Cricetulus griseus: one gene and its partner. The protein of the gene in region 2 binds, or shares a complex with, the protein of the main gene of each other region. Links are inferred from orthologs where the notes say so. Each region holds a gene or a part of one and is shown on either strand. Other genes may lie near its edges. The genes, in order: Alkal2 and Alk.

What was found.
Region 1: the proteins of Alk (region 2) and Alkal2 are in contact, whole or in part, in a cryo-EM structure (PDB 9G5I), measured with the Homo sapiens proteins. The link is inferred for Cricetulus griseus from reciprocal best matches to the Homo sapiens genes ALK and ALKAL2. Residues at the interface, in NP_004295.2 of Homo sapiens: Leu684, Tyr739, His755, Ser758, Leu760, Phe856, His857, Glu859, Leu965, Tyr966, Thr967, Pro968, Leu970, Lys971, Val972, Met973, Glu974, Glu978, Asn980, Val992, Glu994, Cys995, His996, Met997, Phe1007, Asp1009; in NP_001002919.2 of Homo sapiens: Ser112, Lys113, His114, His116, Arg117, Leu118, His120, Asn121, Thr122, Arg123, Asp124, Arg133, Arg136, Leu137, Arg140, Leu141.

The regions. Positions count from the first base shown.
Region 1 is NC_048600.1:32,865,667-32,870,087, reverse strand, and holds the start of Alkal2 (ALK and LTK ligand 2), read right to left. Parts: upstream 2,997-4,421; coding exon 2,747-2,996; intron 826-2,746; coding exon 772-825; intron 691-771; coding exon 610-690; intron 1-609. UniProt on the Homo sapiens protein: Cytokine that acts as a physiological ligand for receptor tyrosine kinases LTK and ALK, leading to their activation. Cytokine-binding is sufficient to activate LTK. In contrast, ALKAL2-driven activation of ALK is coupled with heparin-binding to ALK.
Region 2 is NC_048600.1:10,992,510-10,996,845, forward strand, and holds the start of Alk (ALK tyrosine kinase receptor), read left to right. Parts: upstream 1-1,254; coding exon 1,255-1,936; intron 1,937-4,336. UniProt on the Homo sapiens protein: Neuronal receptor tyrosine kinase that is essentially and transiently expressed in specific regions of the central and peripheral nervous systems and plays an important role in the genesis and differentiation of the nervous system.

The DNA of each region.
Region 1 (4,421 bases), about 22 Mb from region 2:
CAGATCTCTGTGAGTTCAAGACCAGCCTGGTCTACAGAGCAAGTTCCAGTACAGTGAGGGCTACACAGAGAAACCCTGTCTTCAAAACCAAAACCAAAACCAAAACCAAAACCAAAACCAAACCAACCAAACAAACAAAACCTTGGGTGATGAGGGTTTTATTACTCATGGAAAGAAAACAGCACTGGTCAGAGCAGTGGAGGTAGTCAAAAAAAGTTTTACAGGGAAATTTCAGGCCAACCAGACTGTTTATACCCCAACACTTTGACCACCAGCAGACACCTGAGCATGTCACACCTAATCTGTGTGATGTCCATTGGAATAGAATATGGACGTTGTGCTGGAATTCATAAACAAAACGAGAATGTGAATGAAAGGAAGGGTTCAGTCCATTGCAAGAGTTGATTACGTCCAGTGGGTTATCATGAGGTAAATACTTTCCAGTGGGATTGGTTGTTACAGAGTTTAAGCCATCTGCTCCAATGTCTAGGCACCCTGCCCCAATCCAGTCAGGTAAGGACACTCAGGCCCCCGCACCTGTCAAAAAGCAGACCTGCTGCACTGAAAAGAAAGAGTGGAGCGCCATTTGCCTATTGGGTGCTCACTTACATGCAGGGATGGTGCAGTCTCTCGTGTTGTGGTAAAGTCTGTGAAAGTGCTTGCTGCACTTCGGACTGAAATAAAGAGGACCTGGAACACAGAGGAAGAAAGTCACAAAGACTCAGGGCAAAAAAGGAGCAGGGAGGGCGGAGGAGCGAAGGGAACACACACCTGTGAGATGTTTCAGAAACTTGTCCTTCATCCTTAGATCTCGAGGAACAATCTCTATGAGGGGTGAGAAATCGTATTACTTGAACAACGCACCTGTTAAGTGTGATCTTAAGTGAATGTGGAGGAAATTTTTGAGAATCCCATTATCTATACTACAAGGCATTGGCTAGACTAGGACAACACTTGGTAGTTGCACATAATAGAATGTGGATACTTAGATCAGCATGGTTTTTCTCAAGCAGCATTAACTACTCATAAAACTCCAATATTACCAGTCTATTTTCTCTGGATATGATAAGCGTTACAGGCCATAAAGTTACAGGTTTGGAAAAAAAATGGTTTTGGATAGGTTCCAATGGATGAACCACTTGTAAACACTTCAAAGAACTTTGAAATCAAATTCCACAGCATTTAAAAATTCTAGAAATAAACCTGAATCTTCAAAACAAAAAAAGTGTGTTTTTGAACAGTATACATTGTAGGTGATGTTTTAATTTCTTTATGACTCTGATAGTGAGGCTAGTATAAACAGATGGGAATGTACATCACCTTGATTTATAAGGAAAGTAGGGTCTCCAAGGAAAGAATTTTAAACACCAACTCATAATCATGCTTTTCATTGGCACCTGGTCCCTCATGATGGTTCCCCGTTTGTTTGTTTTCCCCTGAGTTTGGATATTGTTTTTGCTTTATTTTCAGTCTCTGTAATCATTTTCTAAGTCTCTGACCCACATGAGGCCAATAACTTCTCTTATGATTGTGAAATGTCACATTTTATTTTACCAGAAATACTAGTCTTCTCTTTCTTAATAGCCGAAGAGAGACACTGACATTGAGCCTTTCATGAGGGAGGTGGAGACTATTCCCTAAAGCCTTTCTTCATGGACTCCTTACTTGAGTCAGTTTACACAAAAGTGACCCTCTCATATTTGACCTAATTCTGTCATGAAAGCATTAAAAGCTTGCATGCTTCCCTGAGAAATTCCCATGGGCCACTCTGGGAAGGGCTCCACCAGGGAAGCTCTGGCCATTTCTTCCTCTGCTGGAAATGGTGGGCTGGGAACCTTCCCCTGAGAAGAGCAGAGTATTCTGAACTGGGCACCAGCATATCTTAGAAGTGAATTGGGATTGTTATTTTGGAGGCTCTCACACAGTCTCCTGTTTCTGCTAGTTTCTTTTTCTTGAGAAACAATAAAAAACAAAACAAACACAAAAAACCCTTAGTTAAAATTTTAAAAATGGATTCATCTTTAAAACTGCTTCTAAAAAATTCTATTTAAGAAAATACTAATATAATGTGTCTTTCAGATAGGTAGCCCTTTCATCCACACTGCCAATACCCACTTTTTGCTCCTCAGTACACACTGTGGCTAGAACTCTTTCACGGTCCACACTGACGGGATCTCACTCATTCTTTTTCCTTAAGGTCTACACTGAGGGACACTCAGGCATCTTGGTTTCTCAGGTCCATATTGCCAAGACTCACTTTCACTCACTCCTGTCTATCAGGTCTACATTGCCAGGACCTCGCCTACTCTCTTCCCCGTGGTCCATATTATTGAACAATCATTCACTCTATACCAAGTAGATTGGAACTGTTAGACACTCAGCAGTCACCTACTCTCTGCCCCTCAGGTCTACACTACTAAGATACTTCCTGTTCTTCTTGGTCTACACTGCCCGGATCCTCATCCACTCTCCACCCCACTGGTCCATACTGCCACAGCTCAATCTCATTAACTTTCTGTACTTTGTGGTCTAAGCTGCTGGACACTCACCCACTCTGTTCCTCAGACTAGGGCTCTCTCTTCCACACTCTATCTTCATAGCTCTACACTGCCAGACACTCACTAATTACTTTTTGCCTTTCAAGCCTACCCTGCCAGAACCCTCCCTTACTCTATGTCATATTATGGTCTACACTGCTGAGCTCTCACCCACTGAGTCCTTCGTGTCTACACTGAGGAACACTCACCCACTCTCTGCTCCTCTGGGTCTGCCCCATAATCCGTGGCCTCTCTGCCGCCCAGGGCAAAGTCGGACTCGCCAAGGAGCTGCAGTCTCTTGTCTCCCGTGTGGAATTTCTTCAGCTCCTGGACCAGCTCAACTAGCAACCTCAGCAGCGTCTGCCTGTCTGCAGGCTCGCGGGGCTGCGCGCGTCCCCGGTCCCCCACCATGCTCAGCAGTAGCAGCACAAGGACCAGCGGGCGCCCTGACACGCGCATTGCCCCGGTGGCCTGCGTCGCGGGTCTTGGGACCCGCCGCCCCACTAGCCGGAGTCCAAGTTTCCCGCACGCGGAGTCCGCGCAGAGACCGCGCCGCACAACTTTCTTGCACCGCGGGAACCGCGCGCGGGGTCTTGGACACTTCTTAGAGATAGGAGGCCACAGGTGTAGCCCGGCCTCACGTCTGGAGCTGCGGAGCAGTTGGGCCACCCTGGAGTTGAGAGGCCAGGGCACCTGCCAGCTGTGGGTCCCGCACTGCCCTCAGGCACCTGCGACCACGCGGTGGATCCCACGTTGCCCTCGGGCACCTGAGCCCACACGGTAGGTTCTGCGCCTGCGGCGCTCCTCCGTCCCCCAGTTCCGACACTACTTATGAGCTCCAGCTCCACTTGTCCAGCGCAGGGACACAGGACGCACAGCTCCTGCGGGGACAGCGCCGACCCTGCTGCTCCAAGTCCCGCTGTCCTCGGGCGCTTCTTATCCCCGCGGCCGCCGACGTCAGGCGGGTCCCCCGGGTTCCGAGCGCTGCTTTAATTAGAACCACCGAGCGCTGCTCCGGGGCGCGGATATTCGTCAGGCCCCTCCGCCTCTCGCGCTCTCATCCCCTCCCCCGTCCCCTCCCGGCCCAGTCTTCAGTCTCCGCCCCTCCCTCACGTCTCCACCCGCGTCTGGTCTCCCCCTCTCTCGTCCTTCCTCTGCCTCTCCTGTCTCTCTCTCCGGCAGTCTGTTTCCCTCCGTTCCTGTCACAAGTGACAGGATGAGCAGAAATGCCTTTACCGGGAACTGGAATCTGTTTTTGTCTAAATGTAGATCTTGGGCTATTTAAAAGGAGCTGCTTGATTGCCTCGACATTGAGTGTCATCCAGAGTCTGGACTTTTCCGAGGAGGGATCTGCCTGGCCACAGGCAGGTTTCAGGGTCTGAAGAAGATGATGGGGAACGCCTTGCACTTGGAGGGACCTAAGCAACCTGCAAGGTCCTTGGAGTAGGGACACTGCTGGTCCACGAGTCGGCTCCAGAGCTCTTACCACTCAAGGTGCATCTTTAAGAAAGTTGGATCTGTTGGATCTAGCCAGGCACATTTGCAAGGGCACAGCAATTTACTTGCTTGATTTTTTTTTTTTTCTTGCGATAAGTATTACCAACTGCACAGTTTCCCATTTCATTGGTGCTTTCTGGGCAGGAGCTGGACGTCCTCCAAGTCAGCGATCACATCGGGAAAGGTGTTCTTAGTACAGCGTCAGAAAGGGAGAACTCAAGCATTAAAAGCCTGGATCTTTAACCCGCAGCTGCTCAAGCTGTTGTGAAGATGCAGTGCCTTGCAAGTGCGCACCCGCATTGGCCAGGAGTGAGGAGGGGATCACTGTGGGCCAAACCCCTTGCTCTGAATGGACCCTGGAATTCTAATTCTGTCTCCTCTCTCCAC
Region 2 (4,336 bases):
TCCAAAATACTCTCTTGTTCGCACAGCGGAGAAATAGGGCAGACGATCCGGAGGAAGGAATAAGAAGCAACAGCGGGAGGCGGGGCGGGCTTGGTGCTTTTCTCAATGAATACCGAGGCCTCTGCAGATTTGCATAGGAGCGGACCTCGCAGCACCATTGGTTGGCAGGCAAGGGAGGGGGCGGGTCTGGCATGCGTGGGCTGGGCAGCTGCGCTGAGTTCGCTCAGGAGTCCCGCCTCCACTGAGGCCCCGCCCCCTCTCGGCGCGCGCTCGCGGCTCCGCCAGCTGCAAGTGGCGGGCGCCCAGGCAGATGCAATCCAGCGGCTTTGGGGGCGGCGGCGGCAGTGGCAGCTGGCACCTCCCGCTGCTTCTGCCCAGGGGGTCTCCGGGCAGCGAAACGCCTTCCGGCCGCCCCCTGGCCAGTCAACAAAACCGCGGGCGCTGCTGGTAGGTGAGGAGGGGGCTAGATTGCGGACTCCCCTGCCTGAAATGCTTTTACTCCGTGGCTGCGGCCGGGTCTGCTCTGGTGCCTGGGAGTGAACTCCGAGGAGCCAAAAACGTTGGTGACAGCAAGGACGCCGCAAACTTGCGCGGAGGCAGTAGGAGCCTCTTCTCCGCAACGCAGAGCTTGCGTTCACGCCCAGAAGTTCAGCGGGCAGGGTGATCCAAAGACTTCCTGCAGCGGAGGTCACTTGAGAGGGCGCTAGAAAGCAGCCCCCTCCGGTGGTCCTTGCCTAGACCTGGGAAGGAGATCAGAGGAAGTGACAGGAGCGGAGGACGTGGGCAAGACAGTGACCAGCCCGGAGCCAAGGTTCTCAGCCTGGAAAGTTGCGGTACATTGGAGGCTGCGAGGAGAGATTTGGTCACTGAGATCTCCTAGAACGGTACCTAATTGCCACCTCCCTTCAGTGATAGTTTCTCTGGTCCTAGAGCGAAGGCTGCTACAATCAGGCGCACAGCACTCCTAGCAGACTGCGAGAGGCTCAGGGTCTAGCTGTTGACTCCAGCGTGTCTCACGGTCTCCGGACTCGTCCCTGACTTCCAGATCGGTTTTGCTAAGAACGCTTCTTGCCTACTTGCTTACTTGGGGGAAAGCAGAAGAATTGAGCCCACTCACAATCCCTGAGATCAAGAGAAAGGGGCTGTTCAGGATCAAGGACTGTTTGGAACCCCTTCCTGTGGTGGAGAGAGTGAAGGGCTAGGCTGGGCCAGCGAGGGAAGGGACACTAGTATAAACTCTAGCCTTCCAGCGGGATGGGAGCCCTTGGACTCCTGTGGCTGTTGTCGCTGCTGCTTTTGGCAGCAGCCTCGGACTCCGGAGCTGCAACGGATCAGCGCTCGGGTTTCCTGGCCGCAGGGCCGCCTCTGCAGCCCCGGGAGCCACTCAGTTACTCGCGTCTGCAGAGGAAGAGTCTGGCGGTGGACTTCGTGGTTCCCTCTCTCTTCCGCGTCTATGCCCGAGACCTGCTGCTGCCACAGCCGCCGTCCCCCTCGGAGCCCGGGGCTAGTGGGCTGGAGGCACGGGGATCACTGGCTCTGGACTGCGCTCCTCTGCTCAGGCTTCTGGGGCCGCCGCCTGGGGTCTCCTGGGCAGACGCAGCCAGTTCGCCCAGTCCCGAGGTGGGTTCTACGCTGTCCAGGGTGCTGAAGGGAGGCTCTGTGCGCAAGCTCAGGCGTGCCAAACAGCTAGTGCTGGAGCTGGGTGAAGAGGCGATCCTTGAAGGCTGCATTGGACCCCCAGAGGAGGCAACGGCTGTGGGAATACTCCAGTTCAACCTCAGCGAGCTGTTCAGTTGGTGGATTCACCACGGCGAAGGGCGGCTGAGGATCCGCCTGATGCCTGAGAAGAAGGCATCGGAAGTGGGCAGGGAGGGAAGGCTATCCACTGCGATCCGAGCGTCCCAGCCCCGCCTTCTCTTCCAGATCTTTGGTACCGGTGAGCAGCTCCCACCAGAGTGTGTTGGGATTTGCATTTTAGTTACACCAACTTGGAGCCACTATTAACTAACCCATACCCTTCTTAGACTTTTTTCATCATTCTTGAAATTAGACCCGTGGCTTTTTTTTTTTTTTTTCTTTTCTATGAGCTTGAGCATAATCACTTCCCAATATATCGGTTTTTCTTCTTTAGCAATCAAGTTGGGAGAAAAGTTTCAGTGTTGATAGAATGCCTCCCACCGACTTAGACATGACCCAATTGTATCGTAATTGGATGTCCTCCTTCCTTGTCTCTGAGAATGGTTGAAATGCTCCCATAACTCCTAAATTCCAAGTTCTAACAAGGCCTCAAACTGTTGCCCTCTCTTTTGAACTCTTGTTCCTCTTTTAGGCCACCACCAATTTGGGGAATGTGGGTAGAGTTTCCCAGAGAATATAGAATTCCTCTTTATCTTGAGTCTCAACCAGCCTCCCAACCCTGGCCCTCCACCCCAGTACTGGCTAGCCCAGAGGTTCCCTCCTCCTTAATTATTCATTCTGCCATACCAGAATCCCCCAACCCCCGTCTGTTTTGCACTATCAGCCTGTCACTCTTCTCACATGTCCTGGCAAAATCCCAGGGGAACTAAGGAACAAGAGGCAGGAGATTTGTGGAGAAAGGAATAAAAATGGTTGAAGTTGCCTTGATTTGGGAGAGAAGCAATAATTGTCTATTGCTTTTCTCCCCCACCCCCTTTGTTTTCCCTGGGAGTCTTATCCTGCATGTATGTAGCAGCTGCTCTAGATGACAGTCTCTGGCGGGCTGATTTCACTGCTGGAGGCTCCTGGAATGAGGTTTCTGTTTTGTTTACTCCCACATTCATCAAGTTAAGGCTGTGTGTGCAAGCACACACTTCTAACTCTTTCACTAGTGTCTTTTGAATGGCAAACCAGGTGGTTTTGAATGAATGTTTTTCTCATAGGACCATGGGGGAAGGACTTGTGAATGAATGAAATATTCAATGTAAATGATGAGAAAAGTCACAGAAAGAGAAATTGTGTTTTTTTTTAAAGAAGCCCACACTGATTCCATTGAGCAAAACTAGCTTCTTTTCTATCATTCTCATCATCAGAAATAAATGAAGTTCTTATGCTCCACTGGTTACTAATATTTAGTATTAATTGGATGGAAAGCATTGAATGGCGCCCATTGTGGAGGTACAATTTCTCCCATGCTTGCACACACACACACACCACTTCCACTACACTCAGTGCTCTCTCGTAGCAGAGCTACCAAGAAGCTGAGGGTCCCTGTCATTGCATAGAAACTACTGGCATGCGGTCCTCAAGGAAATCAGAGTGTGGGTCTGTATCTCAGCACTGGCATTGGTGACATCGGTAACACTTAAAACAACCCTTTATGATCAGTGCTGGGGTTTATATTGTGCCTAGTGAAAGGCAGGGTCTGATGAGCTTGGCAGTGCCTTCAGTGAAATGAGAGAATGAAACTGTTGTCCCACTAAGGAGACTTTTGTAAAGAACATCTGGCCTGTAATGGCATTGTGGCTTCTGTGGTTTATATATGCAACATTCTCTTTTAGTGTCCGATGCTTCTGTAATGAATGTACAAATGACTCTCTGGAAAGACAAATTTTCATTCACTTTCATGTCTTTGAGCATTGCTGGAGCTTCTGCATCACTTCTTGTGATATGACCATAAGCCCCAACCATCTGTATCAACTGTTATCACATGTTGATGGCTGGCAAAGGGGTTATTTTCCAGCCCTGAACCTGCCAACTATAGACAGGCTGCAAAGAAACTATCAGTGGATGTCTCACATAATGCATTTGAAGAACATACTGCTGTAGTTGAGCCCCATGTGAAATCAAACCATGCTTAGGGGAAGTTTCATGTAGAAAGGGGTGTCTCTCAATAGCTGTTCTGCTACTGGCTGCAGGAAAGCAGTGAACATCCAAGCTCTGTCCCAGGAGTGCAGTCCATTTGGCAGCTGGGCCAACCCTTATGTATCCTTTGACACATATAGAAATGCTGGCTTCAGAAAGAGCCAGGAGTCTGCCATTAAAAGGCTAGAAATTTTGGCCAAGCATTTTAGGCAAGATTGGGATCAAATGGTTATTGATGGGATCAAATAAGACACTAAGTGTAACTGGATGAGCTCCCTGTGACCTCCAGAGAGACAGACAGCTTATTCAAAAGCACTTCAGGCCTTGTGCTCACACTTGAACAGGATGGCCTCTCTTGTCTCTGAGAACATATGTTAGGCAGCTAGCCACACAGGACTAGCCTCTTGTCTCACTTCACTGCCTTCCCCCAGATGCAGGCTCCACTGCAGACCTTTCCATGGAGTGGAAAGTGCTATCCTGTTGCAACACACAGCATTCTGTGTTGGGGGCAGCA